Linked DNA regions of Schizosaccharomyces pombe. The gene in region 3 interacts genetically with the main gene of each other region. Each region holds a gene or a part of one and is shown on either strand. Other genes may lie near its edges. The genes, in order: ntp1, cyb502, spp27 and tma22.

Region 1 (5,626 bases), on a different chromosome or scaffold from region 3:
GTAGACATTGACATTGATATTGGTGTTTGTTTGTTTGGCAATGATTCTCGTAACTCGCGTATACGAACCATCAACTCTTCGATTTGGTTATTTGCGCATCTTTTAATAAGAGGCTGAGCTGTGTTCTGACATATCTTTTCAAACTGACTTTTTGCTAATCCATAATACATAATTGCTTGTGAAATTTCTCCCAAAACTTCCTGATTTTCCCCATCTCGGGCGTATTCATGCGCCTAATTTTGTTAACATTCACATTCAAAAGCGAACGATAATTACGAACTTCAAACACTAAATTTACTCATATCCTTATCTCTTTAAGCATCTCTTACCTTTCTTAATGAATATCGAACCATAACACATTTTAATAATATACTGTTGTTGTGTAAGGAAGTGGCCAACTTATGTTGTCTACAAATGTGAACGACATAATACGGTACATTAACTCAAAATAAGTTTCTAGAAGACAATTCCTTCAAAAAAAAAACTAATAAAGTGATAGACACCAAATTAAACATTAGAGTTATATTCGGACTAAAACTGCAACAACAGTACTATCATGGAAATTATAAATTAGAATTGAATCGTAAGGTAAAAAATTCATTTACTACTTCTTTCTTTTAAGTAAAAAAGTAATAATATCGCTGGTGATAAGCTTTACTCATAAATTTAAATAGAATTAACTATTGTTTCGTAAGGGAATATTCGCCAAATAGAACCTTCATAGTAGAAGGATTTAATGGAAGGTATAACATGTAACATAACAATGGGTTTTAACCGGTCGATAACCAAAATAACATAATAAGAGAATAAAGCTAAAGGCAACTAAAAAAGTAGACAAAGTCGATTATTTTTTTCAAGCAAACGATAACTTAATTTTTATGAATGGAAAGGTTTTCGAAAGCAGGAAGAGATTCTTCCTTGATGCCGGCAAAGAAAACATCAGGAGTCGTACAAGCACCAAGAGCCCGACGCATATGCGAATTACAGAATGTAAGGCCGACTTCGTAACTGGCATTAACCCATCCAAAACCTTCGCGAGCAACGCCTTTGATATTGACACCCTGATTACCATACTCAGCTTCAACACGATGTGGATCAACTGGTCTGGTCAAATCATATTTTTCAACAACAATACCATTAAAATCAACAAACGATTTAGTAATAGTATATAGCCAACGATATACAAGTCTACGAGTCTCCTCTTCATATCCGTATCGAATCAATCCATACCAAGCTAAAATCTGCTGAGGGCTCCAGCCATTAGGATAATCCCATTGACGGCTGGGATTATCAAGACCCACTTTACCCAAGCTTCTCTTTGTACCAGCAACTATACCTCCAGCAACTTCAAACTTGGGAAGACTAACATCAACAAATTTTGCGGCTTGACGGGGAGTTGCCACACCGGCCCACAAGGCCCAGAAAGCAGTAGCACTTTCATAAGTACTCTTCGTTTCTAACTTCGTGTTGTAATCATACCACATCGAATCAGCTTCTGACCAAAGATACTTTTCCATTGCAGCACGACGAGCACGAGCACGACGATCCCAAATGGCAGAAGTTTCTATAGTTCCGTTTGGAAGTACAAACTTGTCATCGAAATATTCTAAAATCACATGTGAGATGTCGGTTTCATATTTGTATAGCAACGAGTTCAGATCCACGGTGGCCAAGTCAGCACAAACTTTTTCCAACCGATAAGTAGTATCATGCCCGCTTTCGCGAACTGCGCGGTCGTGCACGAAATACTCATCCAACGCGGGTTCATGAATTTGTTGGTAATTGTATGCATGAGTAAACTCCTCAAGAGTCATATGATACTTCTCCATGTAAGGACGAAGCAAATGCTCAAAATGAGAAGCTTCAGTTTCCGGAGGAATACCGAGTCCTCCAGGGCGATAGCGGGAAAGACCAGTTTTGGGATCCAGTCGTGGAGTGGCAGTCCAAACAGTGTGATATTCTTTTATAGTCGCAGAAAAGGCCCGATGCAAAAAGTCTAAAGATCCTTCTTCGTTTTTTATACGTTCATAAACTCGAAGGGCCATATCGGTCAAAAATGGAGGCTGGGAGCGAAGAAGATAATAAGTGCGGTTGGCATTCAAGATCTTACCGTAATAGGTAATTTCAAAAATAAAATTCTCCACCATACCTTTCGCCAAGTCAACCCGATCGTCAACAAGCAAACCCAGTGATTCAAAGTAAGAGTCCCAGCCGTACAGTTCATTAAACCGGCCACCAGGAACGACAAATGGCACACCTCGAAGATGTGTATTGCCTTCATCATCTTGGTATTTTTCCATTGCAAGTGCAAGTAACCCTGGCTTATCATTTACATCTCTCACCCATTCTGGAGTAATCTCTTCCGGCAGATATTCGACCTGTAAATTCAAGTAAGGCCTTTCCTTAGCAGCGCGAACATAGTATTCATACATCTCTTGTTCGGCTTTAGGAACATAAATTCGATTCACGTGTGATCCTGATCGGTCTTTGGTATCACGGCAAATAACATCCAAAACACTGGCATCGATTCTTCGAGTAAGGGCATCCCAAAAGGTACCTTTGATGAGTCTAGAAAGTCGGTTCACAGGGTTTTCATTAAGTCTTCGCTCATCAAGTAAAATATATCGACGTCCATAATCCTTTGCCAAGGTCAATTCCTGAAGTAAATTTGACAATTGATATGTGCCGCGAAGCTCATACAAGCGATATCCACCCGAGCTAGCGCTGCCAAGGGAAACAACTTTAGGTCCGGTATCCTCGATGGTGATTTGCATGTTCCGGTCGGTGTCTTCAGATTCCAAAAGTGCATTCAATGTCTTATCAACATCAACAAGAAATTTTCGTGGTTGTTTATGTTCATCAAGACTTCCACGTCGACGTAAATTCTTTAATTCTGGTATAGTTGGTGCGGCGGATGCCTCCATCGAAGTGGATAAGGTGCGAGGACGGCCAGCACTTACCCGAGTCGACAAGTCTGTATCCTTGGAGTAATAACTCTTAGCGGTTGCAAAGGGATTGTCATCATCATTTGAAATGGCTTCTGTATCCACGTATTTAGAGGAAAATTTCGAAGGCATATGAAACAAACTTATTCGTGTTAAATATTTTCACTATTAGATCAATGTATATATAAACTTCTTTAAAAATGTATTTTTTTTCTCTTTATTGTTCCTATTCACGAATGATAGCAAATGATGGAGAACAAGGTTATTCCGTTGATGGCTTCCGTTTCCTTCACTACAAGCTAACGATATATCAAAAATTCAAAAGCTCCTACGAGGAATACGCTCACTTTCCAAAGCAATTCACAAGATAAAGTGTTTTTTTTTTTAAAAAAACAAAACAAAACAAATTCCTGCTTTTTCGTTCTAAGCTATAAAATAGCAAGCAAGATTTCAGAAAATCGACACTAATTACGTATAAGGAAAATCCGTGTCTTTAACTGAATTTGAGTAACTCTACCAAATTCTTAGTACCCCAATAGGTATAAATCGTTAAATCCTAAAAAAATTTTAAAAGAACTGCTAGTTTCTTCTATGTATCAGTCTATAATCCTGTCGTTGATATTTGTGGTTTGGAGTTGCTAAGTTCTCATACATTCTAAACCAAATTTACGCTGATGTAGTTCGTTACTCAATGACGTAGTCTACCTGACACCTATAGAGCTTATGGAAGTTTAAGGATGCGGCAATAGGATAGCAGCAACGGTGAACACCATCGCTATAATCAAAACAATGAGCTGAAACATAGAAAGAAGATACGAGAAAATTGGCTAATTAAGATACAACAGTAAAAAAGGTATATACGGACGCCTCTGAAACAGTTATCACTGATTTTAGTGGTACTATTGAGAAGGTAATGAGTTTTGTAAAGAACCACAATATTCCGTATTTTTTAACATTGAGAATGCTCTATTGACTCGTTATATACCACGAGATGAAACCCTATGTATGTGTAGTTTGAATGCGGCACTGTATGTTGTTCTATCGGTTTTTTTTTTAAACTTGCACTCTTCTGGTTTGAAATGATTTGGCTGTTATAATTACAAGTTGCAATTCGGTTAATTAGCGGTACTTACCTCTTCTATGTTAAGATAAACATGTACTTTTAATGAAGAAAGTATACAAATCTGACGAAGTATTGGGATAAAAGACTCTGAACTAACCGATTTACGCAATATTAATAGAAGCTAATCTGACAGCTTTAAATTTCAAATTTCAGATTGTATACAGCCAAAGTATACACGTACGCATTTCGAAGTAGACTGGGTTTGACGTGTGCGAGATAATGAACATAATAGATATTTTTTAGAATCTTTTAATACTTGCGCATAAAATGTTACGTATGAACAAGCATGAATTGTTTCCACAGCTATAGATACAGCACTTATGTTTACCTATATCTAAACTGTTGCATTGAATCATTCCTACATAAACCTAAAAAACAACAACACAGGGATATCAAAATTGCTTGCTTGCGAGCTTTTCTATGTGCACTTCTAAAATTGCCCAGCTCTACTTAATACTTTCAGAAAGTCCTACCTTAATAAAATTCAATTTCACTTTAGCAAAATAACTGAGTATAAACATAAAAAATTTTTTAACGGTATCGACTTAATATCTATTGCGCAATATACTCACATAAAAAGCTCATAAACAAATATTTAGTTCCATGTTTCTCAGTCTCACCAACCAGGACCGCCATGACCTCCAGGACCACCCCCAAAGCCTCCGGGGCCTCCTCCAAAACCTCCAAGACCGCCTCCAAAGCCGCCAGGACCGCCTCCGAAGCCACCAGGACCGCCCTCAAAACCTCCAGGGCCGCCTCCAAAGCCACCGTGACCACCATGATGATGGCCTTCACCTCCAAAGCCTCCAAAGCCTCCAAATCCACCAGGACCAGGAGGAGGACCGCCAGAACCACCACCAAAACCTCCGAAACCACCACCGTTATGACCACGATGGTGAAAGAGATTGCCAAGTGCGTGTGAAGCCAGGCCACCTAAGGCCAATCCACCTAACCCTGCAGCGACAGGAGCAACGTAGCTTGGTCTACTGTAAGAGTTGCCAGTGGTGTAGCCATTAGAAGAGGTAAGCCCACTGAACAGCCCTTTATCACTACCATCTGCATTGGTAGTGGTAGTGGCAGCAGCATTAGGATAGTATGCAGCATTGGTATTGGCAGGGGCATTGGGGTTATATGCAGCGCTGGTAGTAGCGGCAGCATTGGTAGTCGTGGCAGTGTTAGCATTGGCATTTGCAGCAGTATTAGCATTGTATGCAGCATTCGTATTCGCAGCAGAAGTATTGTTATTGTTATTATACACAGCTGTATTAACGCTTGTGGCTCCTGGAGGAGGAGCAAGTTTCAGATTTTCGACTGGTGGTTCCCATTGGGGCTGTGGATTTTGAGCTGACTCGTTAACATAAAAGTATGTTCCATATTCAGCATCCCATTGAGCAACCCATCCACTGGGCAAACCTTCACGAGTTTGATAGACAGACATTTTTTATATGATTAATTCTGTAAAGACACAGAGTAAAAACCTATATAAACGATATAGAGGCTTAGAAAGATTCTAACCAAAGAAAAGAAAAATGTTATAGGCAGATATTCAAAAATCACT
Region 2 (3,046 bases), on a different chromosome or scaffold from region 3:
AAGTTCTGGTCTGCAAGAGTTAAATCGAATTGAAAACGGTCAGCAACAGGTAAAACAGAAGACATAACGTTTCCCAGGAGGATTTCAACGATTTGATTAAGAGAGTAGGCTAACAAATCTTGACGAGGAAAAAGCTGAAGTGTTGTATACACATTCTTCACGTTGAGACGTCCAGTAAGATAGGAGCTAAACTCGGTAGGAGAGTCATAAATGATTGGAGAACTGTTAGGACCTGGTCCATATTGTGCAAACTGTTGGCGAAAGCTAGACTGTAAGGAACCATACCAGCGAGAAGCGATTTTTTGGTTTTTCTTCTTTTGCGTGATAAAAGAAAAAACATAAAGGAAAAAACAAGCAAGAATAACAAATTCAAGACGGAAATCTCTCCAATCGACATGCTTGAACATTCCTGGATTCTCCAACTCGGGATTCATATTGTAATCCTCTTCGTATTCATCTTCCTCATCAGCCAGTACTCCTTTAGCTAGTGCAAAAACTAGAAACAAAAGCTTTTTATTAATCATGGTTCCTCCGCTTGTAAATTTACTGACTTTCGTGAAAGAAAAAAGGGCACTGGTTGTACGAAGTGAGATTGAACGTGGTGAAATAAGTAACGAACGAGACAAGCCGGTTCCTAGAGTGGGAAGATTAACTAGTGTATATAGATAGTTTAAAATAAGTCGGTAACCAGAACATGTCGCGATGGTGTAGTTGGGAGCATGACAGACTGAAGATCTGTTGGTCATCGGTTCGATCCCGGTTCGTGACACTTTTTTTGACGTGGAGAAAACACTTTGTACTAGTTATATCCAACATAATTTTGAGGTTTTTTCTTTTTACTTATTTTTATTTTTCTAGTTGCTATATGTGAAGCAAAATTAGATAGCTAACGGATGCTCAAGAATATTGTACTGGCACTTCAGCTTGTTATTGCAAAAGTTACAAAAACAGTCTGCAAAGACAAACAAGCATAGAAGCTCAGTTGGTCTAAATGTATATTACTAGATCGGTTCTGTAATTATTGGTGTTTTATTAGCAATGAATGGTGCTTTCAACTGAATATATCCGACAGAGAAACTATATGGCGTTACAATTTTCAAAGGTAGTAGTTTATCTATTTGGTAAATGATAGTTGTACGAACTGCTACGCATTTACTCAAAATCTTAGTTACATTCATGCGTTCTATATAAAAGAAAGTCATTTTGTACTTGCTTGTTTACGTATACGATCGGTTAATCTCAACAAAGCAAATAAAAGGAAGCTAGTCACCCTGTTGTACTTTATACCTAGGACATATTTTTTTTTTCAAACATGTAACATACCGTTACTGAAGAATGTCATAAGCTTAACGCTAGCTAAATTAAGCTTGTATCAAAGTTGCGAGGGATATTGAGATCTATCGTTATTAGATCATTATAGATAAAAAGATATAAATGAGAAATCCTCCATACCTCAACAATAATTGTTTATTGGTAAAAAAATATTATTCCTATCCACTTTTTGGTTAAGCAGAAAATCTGGCAGAATTTTGTACATGCCGCTTTGCCTATCATTGGCTGCTAAATAAATTCCTTGAGCTCGTTTGTTCGATTATTTACTACTACCACACGATACCCTAACGTGAGATTTTCTCTACTAGCGATATCAAAACTTTCGCAAACTTTTTCCAACTCCCCTCAACACACGATTTTTATTATATAGATTTATTTATCAAGATGTCGGTGAAATACTTTGAACCTGAGGAGATTGTGGAGCACAATAATTCCAAAGACATGTACATGGTCATTAATGGAAAAGTTTACGACGTTAGTAACTTTGCTGATGATCATCCTGGAGGCTTAGATATAATGTTGGACTATGCAGGTAAATAATTCGACAAAACTTTTGTAGAAGTAAACACCATATTATGTTGGAGACTGCTATGCTCAAAAGCGATAGTATACTTTTAATCGCTATCGTTTCATTCATCAGTTCTTCACTTGTGTGCCTTCTTGATTAAAACATTGTATACGGCTTTTTAAACATGTCCACTAACTATTTGTTTTAGGCCAGGACGCCACTAAGGCCTATCAGGACATTGGACACTCTATTGCTGCAGATGAGTTACTAGAAGAGATGTATATTGGTGATTTAAAACCCGGAACTGAGGAGAGACTCAAAGAATTAAAGAAACCTCGTTCATTTGATAATGATACGCCTCCGTAAGAAAATGATTTGTGTACGATGGTTGTTTCATGCTAACAGAACAGATTGCCTCTATTAATCGCATTAATTGTCCTGCCAGCCATAGCAGTAATTGTGTTTGTTAAGCTTAACAAATAAACTTCGAAGGCTTGCCTATTTATTTTCCTAATCTTTATACCTTCTTTTGTTTTTCGCGATGTTAGTATCACTCAATATTATTATGGATAGCAATTGTTTTCAAGGCTTCTAAAGAAACAAAATAAACGTTAACTTAGAAAAATATATTTCTTAAATGTCTTCCTTCAGTAAGAGAGCTCTTAAAAACAATGAGTTCAGCTCGTAACATGTAATTAACTCATGGAGATATTAAACAAACCAAAAAAGTATAACAAAAAGATTTAGCTAATAGTAAAGAGGGAAGTATGTAATCAGAAGTGGAATATAACTAATGGAAAAATTAGTTCTATTGGGCTTATGAAGGACTTCCAGTAATATTCGGTTGGACTTTAGATAAATTGATTACCATCTTTCCTTTGATTTCTTTATCACTCAGCTTAATGTTGTTAATATCATCAATCAAAACACCTAGTTTCCTTATTATAAACTCGGTTTCCTGCTCGGTAGGTTTAGCAACATCGTATTTTGGATCTAAATTCAATGAGTCGATTTGATCTAATACCTCCCTATCGCAATCATTATGTTAATATAGTTTCTACTGTATAAAAAGAATTTATCAAAAGCTTACTCATAAATGTTGTCCCGAGGGTCTCGCTGAGGTGCTTCGGTTCTCAATCGTAAAGAAAAGACGTCAATGAATTTATTTCTATTTTCAGTTAACAAAGAAACAGATACCAAAGGCTT
Region 3 (4,752 bases):
ATATGTCAACAAGGAAGTTACGTACGATTCCTATTAGTTTTTTTATTATGAGTCCTAGAATTCTTTTTTTCCGATGCTCTGTTGTGCTCCTTATTATTTAAATTGGGGCCCGAAGGCGACATTTTGATTGTTTATAGAAGATTGCGTGTATGGCGCTGGGTAAATAAAATTTCGTAAAGCGAGCTGCTGTATGCTAAAAAAAACAGTTTAGCTGGAGACCTCTGAATTAGCTGGAATATCGCAAACTAAGAATATATTTATAATTTCAACATTATTGGAAAGTTTTTAAGCTTCTGAATTGATTTTTGAAACGTGCATCGAATATTTTGTTAGAAACGTATATAGCATTGAATGTACAGCGGAAGTAAATAGCAATCTCTTATAAAGGGCTTATATAATTTACTAATTTGTTTTGAAAAAAATATTCCCCTAACTTTTTCGCCATAATCTTTTTACTTTGTGCTTAAACAAGAAGTCGTGTATGTATGTAAGCAAGCGTTGTCCTGTCTACAAATAAATGCAATTGTTACAACTGTTAAATGTGGCTTCATCTAAAGTGTGATTGGATCTTTAGAAGTCGTAAACACCATGAAATGATTCAATCAATAATAAGTATATTCATTAAGGACTAATATAAAAGAGAAGAACACTTTCCACTCAGTCTAATCAATTTATAAGTCTTTTGACGGTTATAAGCAGCAATCTTCCAAAAAAAAAACGACCCACAAGCACACAAAAATGTTTATGTAAACATACTCTAACAAACGGATGACAGGTTTGCAACCCCAAAGAAAATCCCAAAATAAAATAATAAACAAATTAAAAAGACAGTACATTATTTGAGACTTAAAAGCATATATCCAGAAAACATCCATTTGCGTATAATTTAATATATACACTATAGACACAAGACGAGTACTAGTCATACAACCAAGCCATATCTTAGATCATCCAAAACTGTAAAGCAAACATCATATTATGGGTTTGTAATACGCAAGGGTAGTAAATAAAATTTATTATTGATGATATGGCTTCGACAGCTCCAAGCGACGGTGGTTTCGTAAACAAAATTCCCCGACAATGGGCTGAAGTGAATCATTTTTTATTTCAATGATATTATAGAGCAAAGCAGCGGTAAAATAATTAAAGGTGCGGTGAAGAAAGTGTTAATACAATACATGAAAATCTCCATCATGCACAACAGTTCATTTAGAAAAGAAAATCAATATGCTATATGAATTTATAAAAAAAAGCACAAAGATATCCATAAGGAATAGGTGATAAGAAATATTCGTAAAATCACAGTCAGTCTAACGTAAATTACCTCTTGTAGCAACCCAAGGTCTAAAGTCAGCAACCTGAACTTTTGTTTTCACACTGCATTTAAGATCAGAAAGTTGTAATGCAAAATACGATATCTGATTATGCGTGGAGACTCTCTAGACATACATAGCCTCTAGTATTAAAGCACGGATATGACATGGACATAGGCAAAATCTGTTGAGGAAAAACAGGTAAGCAAGCGAGTATTGAACGAAATAAACATTTATTGCATGCAATGAAAGCAAAAAACTTGAATGATTTTTGGAGACAAAAAAAAAAGGGATTATTGCAAGATATTATATGAAAAAAAGTTTTGGCTGTTTTATATGGTCATGCAGCAAACACAAAGGCTCAAGCGGTGGATTCGGCGGTAGGAGGCTCGACCAACTCTTTTTCCTCCTGCTTGGGAAGATCGTTCGGAGCCGCTGGTTCTTCATTTTTAGGCTGAGGTTTGGGCAATTGATCATCAGGAATCTTCGTCATGAGATTTGTTAAGTACTATTAATTAAGTTAGCTTAGCTTCGGCAGCAGGTAACAAAGAGCAATGCGGAATGTTTTCCACAAGTAACCAAATGAAAAAAGTAGACAAGGAAAGTTACAATCGACAAAGTAAAAGTTTGTTGACAAACCTCCTTAAAACAATTGTGAACCCATCCATGATTAACTTACCTTGTTCATGGTAAACATATGCAAAGTGTCGACTTCGAAAACGCTTTTCAATTTGTCATCACAAAGAATTGTTCGCTTGTCGTTGGGATCTTGTAAGTCATGTGCTTTTATATACTCCCATAACTTCTTCACAGTTTGGGGACGAGATAACTACGTTAGTTAGCAATCAGCAGAGAAAGCGTGCAAATAAACATTTAGTATGTAAGCCTGCCTCTTTTTTCAAAACAACAAGATTTTGAATGGAACGAGTAGGCACGGCTTCCACACTACAACACCGCCTTACCTGTTCAAGACCCAAAAATTCGGCCAACTTAGGGGACAACTTCATAGGCTTATTCAGAGGATTGTTGGCAGGATCTTGGTTCCTCTTGCGTTTTCCACCCTCTTCTCCATCTTCCTTGCGTTTTCGGGTTCTCTTTGCTGGTTTCTTGCCTTCTTCAGTGCCATTTTCCGTCGCTCTCTTACCCTTGGTTTTGCGAGCGGGTGCTTGTTTTTCTACAAGTTTGGTTAATTATTATTTCTTGCATTATTATTTGCAAATTTCTTCCAGCAATATTCTCATCTTACCTAAACTCTCCTTCTCTGAAGGTGCGGCGGTTTCATCAAAGCATTTCAAAATCAGCGCATTCAAGTCTTTTTTATGCGCACTCAAATCTACCTTTCTTCTTTCTTCTAAAAGTTGACGAACTTGCTTCGCAGATACAGTTTGGCGATCAACTGTACCGAGAATTTGCTTAATGTCTGTTTCGTACTCTTCCATCGTTCTAGTTCTTTATACTACCACCTTACTGTGTTGGTCAAAGTATGGTGTAGTGAGACGGTGGTAGTGGATATAGATTACGGTAAAGAAGGAAAGAGCGCTGGTGTAGCTAAATGCGATTTTGAAAAACACGCTATTTTTACAGATGTAAATACATAAAGCTTCAATTTAATTTCTTGTAAAACTAAAAATAATGGAAATTATATATGTTATTTTGTGCTCTCATGTTAGCTTTGTTTACTATTAGAATGCTGCTTTTTGTAAATAACTGAACTTAGCCAAAACCAACACTTGTTCCAGTATGAGCGTTGGGAACGTTGGCAAGCAAAGGGAGAAAACAAAAGATTCATCAGCTAAAACAAAGCAGAAAACCCTCTTTGGGTTTTTCTCCAAAATCCCGAATGTGAAACAAGAGAAGTCGGATTCTACATTATCTAGTAGTTCGAATCACGACTCTAATCATGATACGCCTGCTGATGTTGACAACAGCTCCAATGTGAACAAAAACTCTTCGTCTCCGGAACGCGAATTGCCAACGAGTCCTTCTCATCATGCGAATACCGAGATAGATTCCAGTTCATCTATGCTTCCTCCTCCATCAAGTGATCCATTTTCCTCACCGCTTTCTAGCAGCCTACACCGATCATCTCCTAAACGCCCTCATGATTCTTTGGGCGAGGAGTCACCAGGTAAATTGCTTCGCACGTCTGTGAAGCAAGAGCCCGACTCTGAAGAAGAAATCGATTCTCCGACGAAAAAGAAAAGTTTTAAAAGTTTGGATACATCAATATTTCAAGCTGAAGATCAATTTCGTCATCCTGTCTCGTCGAAGCTGGAAAATTCGGAATTATCTGAAGTCGACAAGCCTTTTATAGCTTCTCGGCGTTCAAGGAAGGTATGGGTAATTGAGTGATACATATTACTTTAGAAGAATAAAAGGGGAAATACGCACTTTACCCCTATATTAACCAGATTTTTGTTTTAATTAATTATGACTAACAATATGCTAGCCTGTTTCCTACGCTGAAAGTGATGAAGACGAAGACTTCGACGATGCACCTACCAAAGGATCTCGTCATAAAAGAATCGTTTCTGATGACGAATCGGATGACTACGTTGAGCCCGATCATATTTCGGAAGCCTCATCTGAGGCATCCTTGCCTATTGATGAAGTCGAATCTATGGATGAGGATGTTGATGGATATTCAGATCATTCCGTTTCTGTGGCTGCTCCAATTCCCAAAAAGGAATCTCGAAAGGAGAGTTCCAATTCTTTGTATGAAAGTTATCGGCTAGGCTCTCAAATTGCCAGTCCAAGCCCTTCGGTCTCGGGTTCTGCATCTCCCACAAAATCGAATAAAAACGGTGTCCTGAACAGAGAAGAAAAAAGAAGGCAAAGAATGGAGGCATTTAAAAAAGAAAACAACGAACGTTACGAGTGGTTGCTAGATGTTCGAGATGCTGATCAAAATCGAGTGGGTGATCCTAATTATGATCCGCGCACATTGTATATCCCACCTTCAGCTTGGGCAACTTTCAAGCCATTTGAGAAACAATTTTGGAAAATTAAAAAGGACCTTATGGATACAGTTGTTTTTTTTCAGAAGGGAAAATTTTATGAGTTATATGAGAATGATGCCGCTATCGGACATCAGGTATTTTCCTTAAAGTTAACTGATAGAGTTAATATGAAGATGGTTGGAATTCCTGAAGCAAGTTTTGATTACTGGGCATCTCAATTCATTGCAAAGGGGTATCGTATAGCTCGAGTCGACCAATTGGAAACCGCTTTAGGTAAAGAAATAAAAGATCGTCAACGAACTCAGAAGGAAGAAAAAGTAGTTCAGCGAGGCCTTACCCAAGTCTTAACGAGCGGGACCCTTGTTGACGAGGCAATGCTGACTTCTGACTTGTCAACATATTGTATGGCTATTAAAGAAAGTCTTCAATCTGACAACGAAGAGCCTTCTTTTGGTATCTGCTTCATTGATACCTCGACT
Region 4 (2,959 bases), on a different chromosome or scaffold from region 3:
CATAATTCCTCAACTTCGTTGCTTTTGGCAATGTTCGAATGGTGAAATCGTCAACTTCCCCATCAGCATTGCTTAATGCGCCTCAACGCAAATGACTCAAAAACTTCAATAACGAAATACGCATTCGGATCTCTTAAGTGTTTGTATCGATATTAAAATCCTGTCCCCTGAAAGTTAAGTACACTGAAGAACTAGCTACTGAGTAATGTTATTATCACGGTTCTTCTTAGTTAATAATGAAGCTACAACTATTTGCATAGTAAATCAATTTTATCAAATTTAAAAAGGTGACAATGATCACAGCATTCTTTGTAGAATCGATTACTTTGTCAAAATATAATTTATTCCTACATTCAAGACAACATTTTCTTAATGAACTACTAAGCTGCCTTATTTTGTATGCTGATAACGTCCAAAAAGGCGTAAAGAAACACAATTTCAATTTTTAACTGCTAAGAAATTCATGGCATACACAACGAATGCTAATACTACTCTATAGCCTTGGCAATGAAATGTAAGTAAACAAATGGTGACTTCAAATCATCATACTAATACAACAGGCAATAAATTGTAAAATATTGATAATTAGGCATTTTTTATATAGAAACATTAAAAAACATGAGTCTCAATAAATTATTAAAAACCGGTATCCTAACTGTGCAACCATTTAACAGAAAATTAGGTTGTACAAGATTGTACAAGACAGTTTATGATAAAATAGCCCCAAAAATAGCATACTTAGTAGTATTTTTAAAAAATAAAAATTAAGATTACTGCTTCTTCTTAGATTTCGTATCTTCGACAATTTTAATATTGTCTTCCGGAACCTCTTTAAACTTTTCCAAAATAAAATCAAATATATCATAATTCAAATCACCCTGTACAACAATTTCATCCTTCTTATCAGCTGTTTTAGTGACACTGGCTCCGGTCGCGAACTTGTTGGCCAACATCTTAGCAGCTTTTTTCGTTTCGATCCCAAATGCGTCAAGACCTTGAACTGTGGTGACTCTCTTTCTTTTAGTTCTTTCAATGGTTTTTATCAAAACCTTGGATGCCATACGTTTGGCTTCTTCACGCTCAACGCGCTTTTCCTCCTTCGTCAATTTTGCCGGTTGTTCTTCTGCATTAGAATCTTTAGTTCCGCTAACATTCAGAGTGTTTTCAAGGTCTTTGCTTAAGTCTTGCTCACCGTACAATTTATCATAAACGTCCGGGTGAGATGATTTAAGCCATTCTTTACATTTTTTTAAAGTGCCCTCAAATTCGCAGTACTACAACGCATTCATAGTTAATATAATTATAAAACAAGTTGTTTATTACGTACTTCCACGGGCAATGTACAAACATCGCAGTATAATACTGATTTTAACTTCGGGATGGTTTGTGAAGCCATTATTTGAGTTTCTTGCAGTATAGGTTAAAGTAGAGACTACCTGGGGGAACGAAAATAGAAAGCGAGATTCAAAGAGGCGAAGCCTAAATATACTATGAGAGTAAAATATGCTTAAAAGCTGTAAGTTATTCGTTAAATAAAAAGTAATTCACATCTCAAGTCGTTTTAAATTTTAGAATATAATGTTATGCTGCTGAAACCGTAAACGGATTTTTAGGACTTTTGTTTACATATCAAAACAATGATATGATAACAAGCTGTTCTTTATAAAGAGTAATAAAAATAACGGCGCTGTAACATTGTAAACTAGATTCAACATGATAAAAAGCTACTACAAAATAAGTTGCGTAAAAAGATAGGAAATTAATTATTCAATTATTGTACAAATAAATACACACTTCGCAGCGTGAGCTAGTTCATAACTTTAAATTCATCAAGACTTCGTGAGTATCCTTAATCTTCAAGGGGCTGACCATAACAGAATGAATAGGAGAGCATTTCTTATCCAAATCATAATAAATGGAAGGAGATACAGCTCTTCTCTTCGATAAGTCGATTATTTCTTCGCCCCATCGAGTTCGCTTTTTCGAGGATGGGGTACGGGATCTGGAGTGATTGCTATTCGGAGTTGACATTTCTGTATCCTTAAAAAATACAGAACTGGAAAGCAGAGGAGATATGGGCATCTCATTCGAAGGCTTAGTAGATGGATTGTCCGTATTACTACTGTCCTCTGCAGATGACTCAATTACATCAGAGTTCTCAACAGCTTTCAAAGATCCTGATGGTGCGAGAACATTACCATTTGCACCTGTTATAGAACTGTAAAACGGTACACCCGGACCTACCATTGCAGGCGAAGCAGCTCTAGAAACAAAGGATGATGATTTTTTAGGCTCGAAAAACATCTTGGAAAATTCCGATTCACTACGGATTTCCAACTCCAGAGGAGATGATTCTTCATACAAGGCACTGGCTACGCGTTGGAACATTTTCGGTTTGGGAAGCAAAGACTTTCTTCGTAACACAGGACACAAAGATTTCGAAATTCTTCCAGAATGAGAGGGACTACAAAGGTCCTTTAAATTTTTTACTTCAATATGTTTATTTGGAGTCTTAGAAAACGAACGCTGATCCAAATTTTCATTGTAACTCAACTGCCTAGTTCCTCTAGCCATGGCAGCGGACGGCAAGTCTGTTGTAGAGTCTGATATGTACTCGGTATCATCATCTTCCATATCGGTCAGTTCTGAATCAAGTGGAAACATAGATTCATCAGTTTCGTCGCTCATTGAGTAATTTACATATCTTAATCCGATTGACGGTGAAGCTTCAGGAGAAGGGGCTGTAAAAGTTTGATGCAAGCTTGAGCACCTAATACTTTTCTCTCTGTTTCTTACAAAAAAGTTCAGACTTGAATTTGATGTTGCTGTGGTCGGTTTTCCAGGTGTTGGATGAAATGAATCCATTTCGACAGTATATCCCTACAAAATACCACAAAGACTTAAAAATAATATAAAGGCCCTATATTAAATAATCATTCTATATTTTATTGCATATGCT

What was found.
Region 1: mutations in spp27 (region 3) and ntp1 together harm fitness less than expected from each alone (positive genetic interaction), as found in Schizosaccharomyces pombe (one large-scale study listed by BioGRID).
Region 2: mutations in spp27 (region 3) and cyb502 together harm fitness more than expected from each alone (negative genetic interaction), as found in Schizosaccharomyces pombe (one large-scale study listed by BioGRID).
Region 4: mutations in spp27 (region 3) and tma22 together harm fitness less than expected from each alone (positive genetic interaction), as found in Schizosaccharomyces pombe (one large-scale study listed by BioGRID).

What each region holds. Positions count from the first base shown.
Region 1 is NC_003423.3:204,529-210,154, reverse strand, and holds ntp1 (alpha,alpha-trehalase Ntp1), read right to left. Parts: upstream 3,575-5,626; 5' UTR 3,078-3,574; coding exon 870-3,077; 3' UTR 514-869; downstream 1-513. Other genes in the region: protein Atg38, read right to left, coding at 1-233, 330-353; protein wwm2, read right to left, coding at 4,685-5,506.
Region 2 is NC_003423.3:2,574,099-2,577,144, reverse strand, and holds cyb502 (cytochrome b5), read left to right. Parts: upstream 1-1,679; 5' UTR 1,680-1,716; coding exon 1,717-1,864; exon of another isoform or gene 1,865-2,048; coding exon 2,049-2,202; exon of another isoform or gene 2,203-2,250; coding exon 2,251-2,323; 3' UTR 2,324-2,482; downstream 2,483-3,046. Other genes in the region: SPOM_SPBC2G5.01 (Ca(2+) binding protein), read right to left, coding at 1-524; Ragulator-Rag complex subunit Lam1, read right to left, coding at 2,658-2,868, 2,931-3,008.
Region 3 is NC_003421.2:1,829,983-1,834,734, reverse strand, and holds spp27 (RNA polymerase I upstream activation factor complex subunit Spp27), read right to left. Parts: upstream 2,753-4,752; coding exon 2,560-2,752; exon of another isoform or gene 2,488-2,559; coding exon 2,276-2,487; exon of another isoform or gene 2,143-2,275; coding exon 1,993-2,142; exon of another isoform or gene 1,939-1,992; intron 1,822-1,938; coding exon 1,675-1,821; 3' UTR 566-1,674; downstream 1-565. Other genes in the region: hel2 (ubiquitin-protein ligase E3), read right to left, coding at 26-122; msh6 (DNA mismatch repair protein), read left to right, coding at 3,054-3,647, 3,763-4,752. UniProt on the Schizosaccharomyces pombe protein: Component of the UAF (upstream activation factor) complex which interacts with the upstream element of the RNA polymerase I promoter and forms a stable preinitiation complex. UAF seems to stimulate basal transcription to a fully activated level.
Region 4 is NC_003423.3:4,334,056-4,337,014, reverse strand, and holds tma22 (mitochondrial translation initiation factor), read right to left. Parts: upstream 1,423-2,959; 5' UTR 1,397-1,422; coding exon 1,328-1,396; intron 1,275-1,327; coding exon 771-1,274; 3' UTR 535-770; downstream 1-534. Other genes in the region: vacuolar protein sorting receptor vps10, read right to left, coding at 1-3; protein Dbl6, read right to left, coding at 1,813-2,865.